2 linked regions of the Neurospora crassa OR74A genome follow. The protein of the gene in region 1 binds, or shares a complex with, the protein of each later gene. Links are inferred from orthologs where the notes say so. Each region holds a gene or a part of one and is shown on either strand. Other genes may lie near its edges.

Evidence for each region.
Region 2: the proteins of NCU07409 (region 1) and NCU03936 are in contact, whole or in part, in a crystal structure (PDB 2VDU), measured with the Saccharomyces cerevisiae proteins. The link is inferred for Neurospora crassa OR74A from reciprocal best matches to the Saccharomyces cerevisiae genes TRM82 and TRM8. Residues at the interface, in NP_010449.1 of Saccharomyces cerevisiae: Asp172, Glu189, Leu192, Gly193, His194, Val195, Ser196, Asp208, His210, Asp219, Glu220, His221, Lys223, His226, Gln229, Cys230, Phe231, Ile232, Val233, Asp234, Lys235, Trp236, Phe238, Gly239, Lys241; in NP_010080.1 of Saccharomyces cerevisiae: Tyr69, Val71, Ser72, Pro73, Met163, Lys164, Phe165, Pro167, Asn168, Lys172, Asn199, Thr200, Leu201, Ser203, Glu204, Tyr207, His235, Pro236, Leu237, Thr282, Pro283, Ile285, Leu286.

The regions. Positions count from the first base shown.
Region 1 is NC_026501.1:6,036,557-6,040,769, forward strand, and holds NCU07409 (hypothetical protein), read right to left. Parts: upstream 2,777-4,213; 5' UTR 2,713-2,776; intron 2,656-2,712; 5' UTR 2,547-2,655; coding exon 1,204-2,546; intron 1,135-1,203; coding exon 774-1,134; 3' UTR 673-773; downstream 1-672. Other genes in the region: NCU07410 (hypothetical protein), read left to right, coding at 1-579; po (60S ribosomal protein P0, variant), read left to right, coding at 3,204-3,377, 3,443-4,203. UniProt on the Saccharomyces cerevisiae protein: Required for the formation of N(7)-methylguanine at position 46 (m7G46) in tRNA, a modification required to maintain stability of tRNAs; its absence resulting in tRNA decay.
Region 2 is NC_026506.1:2,174,323-2,178,059, reverse strand, and holds NCU03936 (tRNA methyltransferase), read right to left. Parts: upstream 2,200-3,737; 5' UTR 1,982-2,199; coding exon 1,839-1,981; intron 1,777-1,838; coding exon 1,544-1,776; intron 1,487-1,543; coding exon 981-1,486; 3' UTR 522-980; downstream 1-521. Other genes in the region: NCU03937 (intermediate filament protein), read right to left, coding at 1-388; NCU03935 (homoserine dehydrogenase), read left to right, coding at 2,574-2,610, 2,706-3,737. UniProt on the Saccharomyces cerevisiae protein: Methyltransferase that catalyzes the formation of N(7)-methylguanine at position 46 (m7G46) in tRNA, a modification required to maintain stability of tRNAs; its absence resulting in tRNA decay.

The sequences.
Region 1 (4,213 bases):
GATCCTCTACTTAAAATGGTGTTTGCTAGGGTGGGGTTTCTGCAGCCTTGGAGAAGCAGGAGCAGCGGGTATGTATATGGAAGTGGAAATAGAGATGGGGTTCATGGTGGGAATGGGGAAAGGATCAATGAAAATGGAAAGAGACGCAGGAGTGGGCATGGCGATGAGGAGGGTATGACGACTCGAAAAGAAACGGACGAGGAGATCGGGGACTGGTTGCATCAGAACCCGGAGATCGTGACCGCCGTGTTGGTGGAGATGGCGGCAAGGAGGGAGGAGGATTTCTACCAGACTCAGTACCAGAGTTCCGGGCTTCAAGGGCCGCCGCCTGGGATGGGTGGTTATATGAGCGGTATGGGTTTGGGAATGGGCAGGATGGACGCGGGGGGCAGATCATTGCCTAGCATGGAGAGACCATGGGCTGCCGCGGGAAGACAGCCTGGTACAACAGGAGGACTGGGGGATATGGGTGGAGGAGGGCCGTTGCCGTGGATGAACCATTGGGAACCAATCAGGCCGAATACCTTGAGGCCTGGTCATACGGCACATCATCACCATTGGCAAGTTGGTGGTAGGTGAGACGAGCTGAGCGAAAGAAGAGGAGGGAGGGCGCTGATGGTCTTTGACGAAAGCGGGTAGGTGCGAAATCAAACGTATGTCGGGTTGGGCAGAGAGATGCCAATGGGCGATCAAAGCGAGAGGAATCTAGCGCATACGAAGTAGGCTTGAAGTATACTCTAGTCAATTTTATCTATCCGGTGATTTCTTCCAACTTACTCGTCATCTTTATTCGTCTTCCTCAAGCTCTCTGTGGTATACAAAAGCTTCTGCAAGTCTTGGGGACTCAAACTGCTGCTTTCTTCTTCAGCCGCTTCCGTGGCCTTCAGACCACCAATAGTCACCTTCCAGCTCGACTCGGAATCATCAAATGACAGAGCGAGGATAGAAGACACACCGCCGTTACTGGCTTCTTCCTCCTGGGTCTCGGACGAGGTATTGGGATCAATGGACACGAGGAGCTTAGACTCGGCCTTGAGATACTCGACATCTAGCGGGTTGCCGAGGAGCGAGAGAGTTTGCGTGTGTTGTAAGGTGTTGGTGGAGGTGAGGGTAAAAATCAGAAGAAGGGGGATGCTGTCATTTCCGTCAGCCGCCGATGCACATTGCCCAACATTGGAAAAAGAAATGAATAGCTTGACGTACCGTTCACAAATCACAAAGATCTGCGTCTTTGCACCCTGCTGAACATCGAAAATCCTCGTCACCGCAACCTTGGTGACCTTCTCCGCATCCTCAGCGCTCGGGAGCGCCTTCTTCACCTCCGCCAACACCGGCGCCTTACCCAGCAGCTTACCGCTGACCCAGTCCCACATAAACAGATCGTCATCACCACCGCCGCTGATCAACACGTCCCTGCGCGCCTCGGGAATGCACACCCGACTCACAAACTCGTCGTGGCCCAAAAGGAAGCCCTCGATTACGTGTGCCTGCGGGATGCCCCGGCTCACGCGGATGTGCTCGTCCCTGTCGGCCGTGATGATGTACGTCCGGCCGGGGTGGCTGGGGTGCACGGCCACGGCCACCGAGGTGAGCATGGAGACGTGACCCAGCTGGAGCGTGTGCTCGAATTGCGAGGCCTGCAGGGCGGCGGCGAGCTTGGCCGCCTTCTGGCGCTCCAGGCAGCGCTTCTGGTTCTCCAGCGCCTTGAGGTTACGGAGCGTGTGCACGGTGAGCTCGTTGGCTTGCGGCTTGACAGAAAGGGATTGGGCCTTGGCGACGTCGGTGGTGGGAGGAGTAGGGATAGCGGGAGTGGCCGGGGCGGAGGGAGTGGGTTCGGGGGTAGCGACCTCGGAGGCAGTGGTGGTAACATCAGCTGCAGCCGTTGGCTCGGCGGGCGTAAAGAGAAGAGGGAGGGAAAAGACGTCGCCGAATTTGTCGGCCGAGAGAATGGTCTTATCGTCGGGCGTAAGGGCGAGGGCGCAAGGACGCTTGGGCATGGCTCTTTGGCTCAGCTGCTTGAGGTTTCCGGCACCATCGTGTTCAAACACCCAGATGGTCTTGTCGGACCCGGTAATAGCAACGAGATGACGGCCGTCGGTGGTGAGGTACATGCCCTGGACGAAGGGCTTCTCGAGGACAGCCTTGTTGTTCTTCGCCCAACCGCCCTCGGTCTTTTGCTTCTGCTTTTGCCGCCTGCTGCGTCTGTTCACTTCTTGGGTCTGGCTTTCAGTCTTGGTCTCAGTTTGGCCTTCAGTGGTGTCCTCCTTGGATTCCTCCTTGTTCTCTTCCGTGACAGCTACCACCTCGCCATCTTCCACTTTCCTCTTCTTGACAGGGGGGCCTTCTGGAGCGGGTGATTCTTCGGCTTCTACGACAGGAGCTGGGGTCTCGCTCTCGGCCTTCTCTCCGTTGGTCTCTTGCTGCTTGACGGGGTACTTCCATACTGAGATGGGGTTGAAGTTGGAGTCGAATGAGTGAATGTTGCTTCCGCGAGCTGCAAAAACAATGCCGTCGCACACTTTGAGGACGTGGTATGGCAAGGCCATTTTGATGATGTGGGTCTTAGAGGCTATGGGTGGTAGATATGAAATTCAATGCTGAGGCCAGGCAAAGTGAGATCGAGTGCACTTGCGTCTTTGATCGTCGAGTGTGATTCTGTGAGTGCATTCGTTAGTATACGACAATTGCTACATGCGGAAGGTGTCTACAAACTTGATATTCGGAGTTGTGATGCAGCCTCACTCCGGGTATGGTAAGTACGTAGTGACTGCAATGCTTGATGAGTGAGAGTGAACTTTGAAGAAAGTCTCGAACAGACTTATTTACTGAGCCACACGTGGCTGTACAGCAGGCGAGCCATACACTGCAGCGTCGTTGCAGTGCCGTGAGGCTCAACTGATGCCGCTATTTTGACGATTTTGTACTGGGGTACCTGCCAAGACAACATTCCAGTCGAGGTGCTTGTTTCTGACCGTCTGATTGGCCAACCCCACTCGAGCCCTAGCACCCCAACGGCCGCACGGGCCACACTCACCCCTCGCTTCCCACAGACGGATCAACCAAGTCAATTGCGCGCGCCCGAAATTTTGTCCGGCTTCCAGAATCTCTCCTCCGGTCACCATACCAACTCCAACTTCACCACCAAATTAAACAAGAGAACTCCTCTTGCCCTTAAACATCCTGCCTTCGTGCTAAAAGAAGATATGGGGGGCAAGTCTGCTAACAAGGCCGGTTACTTCGACAAGCTGAAGGGCTTGTTGGAGGATTACCGGTCCATCTTCATCGTCTCCGTCGACAATGTCAGCTCTCAGCAGATGCACGAGATCAGACAGTCCCTCCGCGGTGAGGCTGTCGTCTTGATGGGCAAGAACACCATGGTACGTTGCCCGTTGTCGCAAGAGCGTCGCGCTTCGGGAAGCCCAGAAATTAACACCCATTACAGGTTCGCCGTGCCCTCAAGACCTTCGTCGCCGACACCCCCGAGTACGAGCGTCTCCTCCCCTTCGTCAAGGGCAACGTTGGTTTCGTCTTCACCAACGGCGACCTCAAGGAGGTCCGTGACAAGATCCTCGCCAACAAGGTCGCTGCCCCCGCTCGTGCCGGTGCCATCGCCCCTGCCGATGTCTGGATCCCCGCTGGCAACACCGGTATGGAACCCGGCAAGACCTCTTTCTTCCAGGCCCTCGGTGTCCCCACCAAGATCGCCCGTGGTACCATTGAAATCACCACCGATCTCAAGCTCGTTGAGGCTGGCGCCAAGGTCGGCCCCTCTGAGGCTACCCTGTTGAACATGCTCAACATCTCTCCCTTCACCTACGGTATGGGCATCGCTCAGGTCTACGACCAGGGCAACACCTTCCCCTCCGATGTCCTTGACATCTCTGAGGAGCAGCTCCTCAAGGCTTTCTCCACTGCCATCACCACCATTGCCAGCCTCTCGCTCGCTCTCAACTTCCCCACTCTTCCCTCCGTCATCCACTCCGTCGTCAACGCCTACAAGAAGGTTCTTGCCGTCGCTATCGAGACCGAGATCAGCTGGCCCGAGATCGAGGAGCTCAAGGATCGCATTGCCAACCCCGAGGCTTATGCTTCCGCCGCTCCCGCCGCTTCCACCGAGGCTGCCCCTGCCGCTGGCAAGGCCGAGGAGAAGGAGGAGGAGAAGGAGGAGTCTGATGAGGATGATGGCGGCTTCGGCGGTCTCTTGTGCGTATTC
Region 2 (3,737 bases), on another chromosome or scaffold:
TGCTCGAATACCACACTTGTATGAAATCGCGGATGACGTAGCCCAGAACCTCGTCGAGAGCTGCCGAGACCTTGGGGGACTCGGGGTAGAGCGGTGCTTTGGTGGACGTCTGGCGTGCCCGAAGAGCGGCCACCTCCTTTGACCAAGAGCCTGGGGCAACGAAGGCCGCGCCATGGGGCCGTGGTGGTGGTCGGAGTCGGTGGTGATGCGATCCACGAGAGGTAAGCATGAGCAGGGCAAGCAGGCCGACGAGGGTAACGAGGACGCCGGCGGCAAAGGCATAGTTAGCCCAGCGGATGGCGGGGAACCAATGGACAGCATATCCCCAGGAAATGAAAGCAGCAATTGCAGCAAGGGCTATGTCTCTTCCTTGAAGAACCATTGCCATACTCCAGCGCAGACATTTGGCGCTTGTCGTCGCCGCATGGTTTTATCGCCAGTTCGATGTGGAAGTGGTTCGGTGTGAGGAGTGTCGCGGGTGAGGCAGGCGGGGGGGTTGGGCCATAGACATTCGTGGGCTGTTTAGTACCATACTCTAGACTAGAGCTCTGGCCTCTACTAGACACTAACACTAGCCGGCAAGTCCATTGCCGCCGCCATGCTAAACCGCGTTAGTGAGCCAGTGGTGCGATGCCATATGTCTGACCAAGAGGCCCGCGGGTTCTCCAGGGGTCCAGTCACTGAACGTCCGGTGGGCACCGTTACACCACCGTCGAGTTTCTGTATTTTACGCGCAAAGTTACATGTCATCTTGTCCGTAACCCGGGTGGGGGTCAGTTGGGGTCATTTACTGCAGAGACATGCCGCTTCACCATCACCATATCGTGAACACCGGACATATACCCCAGCATAGGGCGCCATATAGGAAGGCTTCCGCCTCAAGGTACTTGACTCTCGCAGTAACCCAATCAACGCGGGTATCACCAACATTGTGCATTTTGTCCACATCCATAGCCTCCCTTCCATGTCCCAGAACGCGCTCAAGCAGAAACATCCTCGGGCCACTGAGGATCCTCCAGCCTCCTGAAAAGAGCAACATGCTTCTGCCCATTATGCCTGGTCACCTTCTTTCCTTCCTCAGTCTCGTTGCGCATAATCTCGACTAGCGGATCAGCCTCCTGCTCCTCTACCGACACCCTTTCAAAGGCCGGGTGCGCGTTGAAGTGTCCAACCATCCACTCGTGCAGGTCAGGCACATCCGTGATGGTATACACAATGCCGCCGGGGCGCAGCACGTACGCGTACTCTGAGTTGAGCGTCGTGGAAACAATTCTCTGCTTGTGCTTGCGCGCCTTGAAGTGCGGATCCGGGAAGCAGATGAAGATCTTGTTCAGTTGGCCCTTGTTGAAAAAGTTGGGCATAAACTTCATCGTGTTGGCGCGCAGTACGGCAATGTTGCGGTACAGCTTTTGCTCCTCGTTTTGTACACGCAGGGCTTTGATTCTGTCTTCCACAAACTGTGTTACCGAGACACGAATCTCCAGGCCTGAGTTCACACAGTCAGTATCAGATCGACGAAGTGAAGGGTGTCAAACACTCTTACCTAGAACAAGAGTCTCGGGAAGTACGGGAGCCAGAGCTATGAGCAGACCACCAAAACCGCAGCCTATATCTGCAACCTCAACCTGCTTGGTCAACTTCCTGATGGCAGGAGCCGACAACTCTTGACCCGTGGATTCCTCAGACTCAGTTGTCTCGGTCTTTTGCTCAATCGGCTCTTCAACTGCGTAGTGAGGATAGAGAGAAGCCCAATCCATCTGCTCTGGCGTAGGGGGACTAGATGGTCGTTAATTCAAGAGCATGGAAACAATGATCTCTTCACATGGAAGCCATCTTACTAGATCAATGAGTGATCGGAGAAAGGGTTGGCATGAGCCCTCTGACGGTAGAACTTCTTGCGCGGCAGCTCAGTGACTCCATTGGCGCGGAGGGCGGCACGGTAATCCTCGCGCTTTTGACGCTTGTTCTTGGGTTCGGACATGATGGCTGCTGAATTGAATGGTTTTGTGGTCTAAAAAAAACTGAAGTCTGTCGGTTGTTGTGCAGTCAATAAGTCTGTTGGATCCAATAGGGAAACAAGTGAGACTGAGAGCGACTCCGAATCGACTCTCACAAAAGTTTCATCCCCGGTGTAGTGTAGGTAGCGAAGCAAATCTGGAAGCCAAGGTTCCCGTGTTGCTGCAAAAAAATACCCCAAGGGTGTTCCTGCAGGGGAAAAGCGGTACTCGTAAGATTCGAAAATCCTTAGCGTAGGTAACCTACGTGTAAACTATGCAATACCCACCGTTACAAACACGTCCCTCTGAAGCAATTGAAGGTTACAAGGATGAAGCTCCCGAAACTCGGGCCTGGATTCGGACGGCCGCCCCGCTATCGGCAGTCCAACATGGCGACACTTTTCCATTAAAATCTAGCACGGTAGGTACCCAAGAACCCCACGAGATTGCAGTATCAGTTATCAGTTGAGTCAGGGTCGTCAACTATTTCCATCTCAATCAAGCGGATCAAGAAGTGTACCTTACTTGATCATTCCCATCTCTCTTATACTGCGTAATCAAGATTACATAGACACAATGGCTTCAGCTCGTCAAGTCAACATTGCCATCATCGGTAGGCAATTACCTGTACCCCAATTGCGCCACATCAGCCCAGACCGTCCAACCCCGACGTCCCTCGCTGCTAACCTTGACCTTCCCATCTTCCAGGCGCCGGTGGAGTAGGAAAGTGCTTCCTCTCCCAGCTCGAGTCGCTGGCCGCTCGCCGCCAGAACCAGAAGCTGGTGCTCACCTACATTGCCACCAGCAAGAAGGCCGTCTACAGCGACTCATACTCGCCCATCGCCCTCGACAGCGTCGTCTCGACCCTCTCCTCCTCGTCGCAGGCTCCCCTTGCCCTCCCGAAGCTCGTCGACTACCTCGCCGCCTCGGGCACCAAGACGGTCCTCGTCGACAACACCAGCTCCCAGGACATCGCCGATGCCTACCCCAGCTTCCTTCGCCGCGGCATCAGCATCGTGACGCCTAACAAGAAGGCCTTCTCGGGCTCGTACAAGTTGTGGCAGGACATCTTCGCCGCCAAGGAGGAGGGTGGTTCTTTGCTGTACCATGAGGCCTCGTGCGGTGCCGGCCTGCCCGTCATCTCCACCATCAAGGACCTGGTTGAGACGGGCGACGAGGTGACCAAGATCGAGGGCGTCTTCAGCGGCACCATGTCCTTCCTGTTCAATTCGTTCGCTCCGACATCGGGCTCGGGCGGCGGCAAGTGGTCCGCCGAGGTGGCCAAGGCCAAGGAGCTGGGCTACACGGAGCCCGACCCGCGCGATGACCTCAACGGTCTCGATGTTGCGCGCAAGCTGACCATCCTCGCTCGCTACGCTGGCCTCGAGGTCGAGTCGCCCACGTCCTTCCCCGTGCAGAGCCTGATCCCCAAGCAGCTCGAGTCGGTCGCCAGCGGCGACGAGTTCCTCGCCCGCCTGCCCGAGTTCGATGCCGAGATGGAGGAGGTCAAGGCCGAGGCGCAGAAGGAGGGCAAGGTTGTCCGCTTCGTCGGCAGCATCGACGTGGCCAGCAAGCAGGTCAAGGTCGGGCTGGAGAAGTTTGACCTCTCTCACCCCATCGCGGCCCTCAAGGGCAGTGACAACATCATTAGCTTCTACACTAAGCGGTATGGAAGCAACCCCCTCATCATCCAGGGTGCCGGCGCTGGAGGTGACGTAACCGCCATGGGCGTCACCAGCG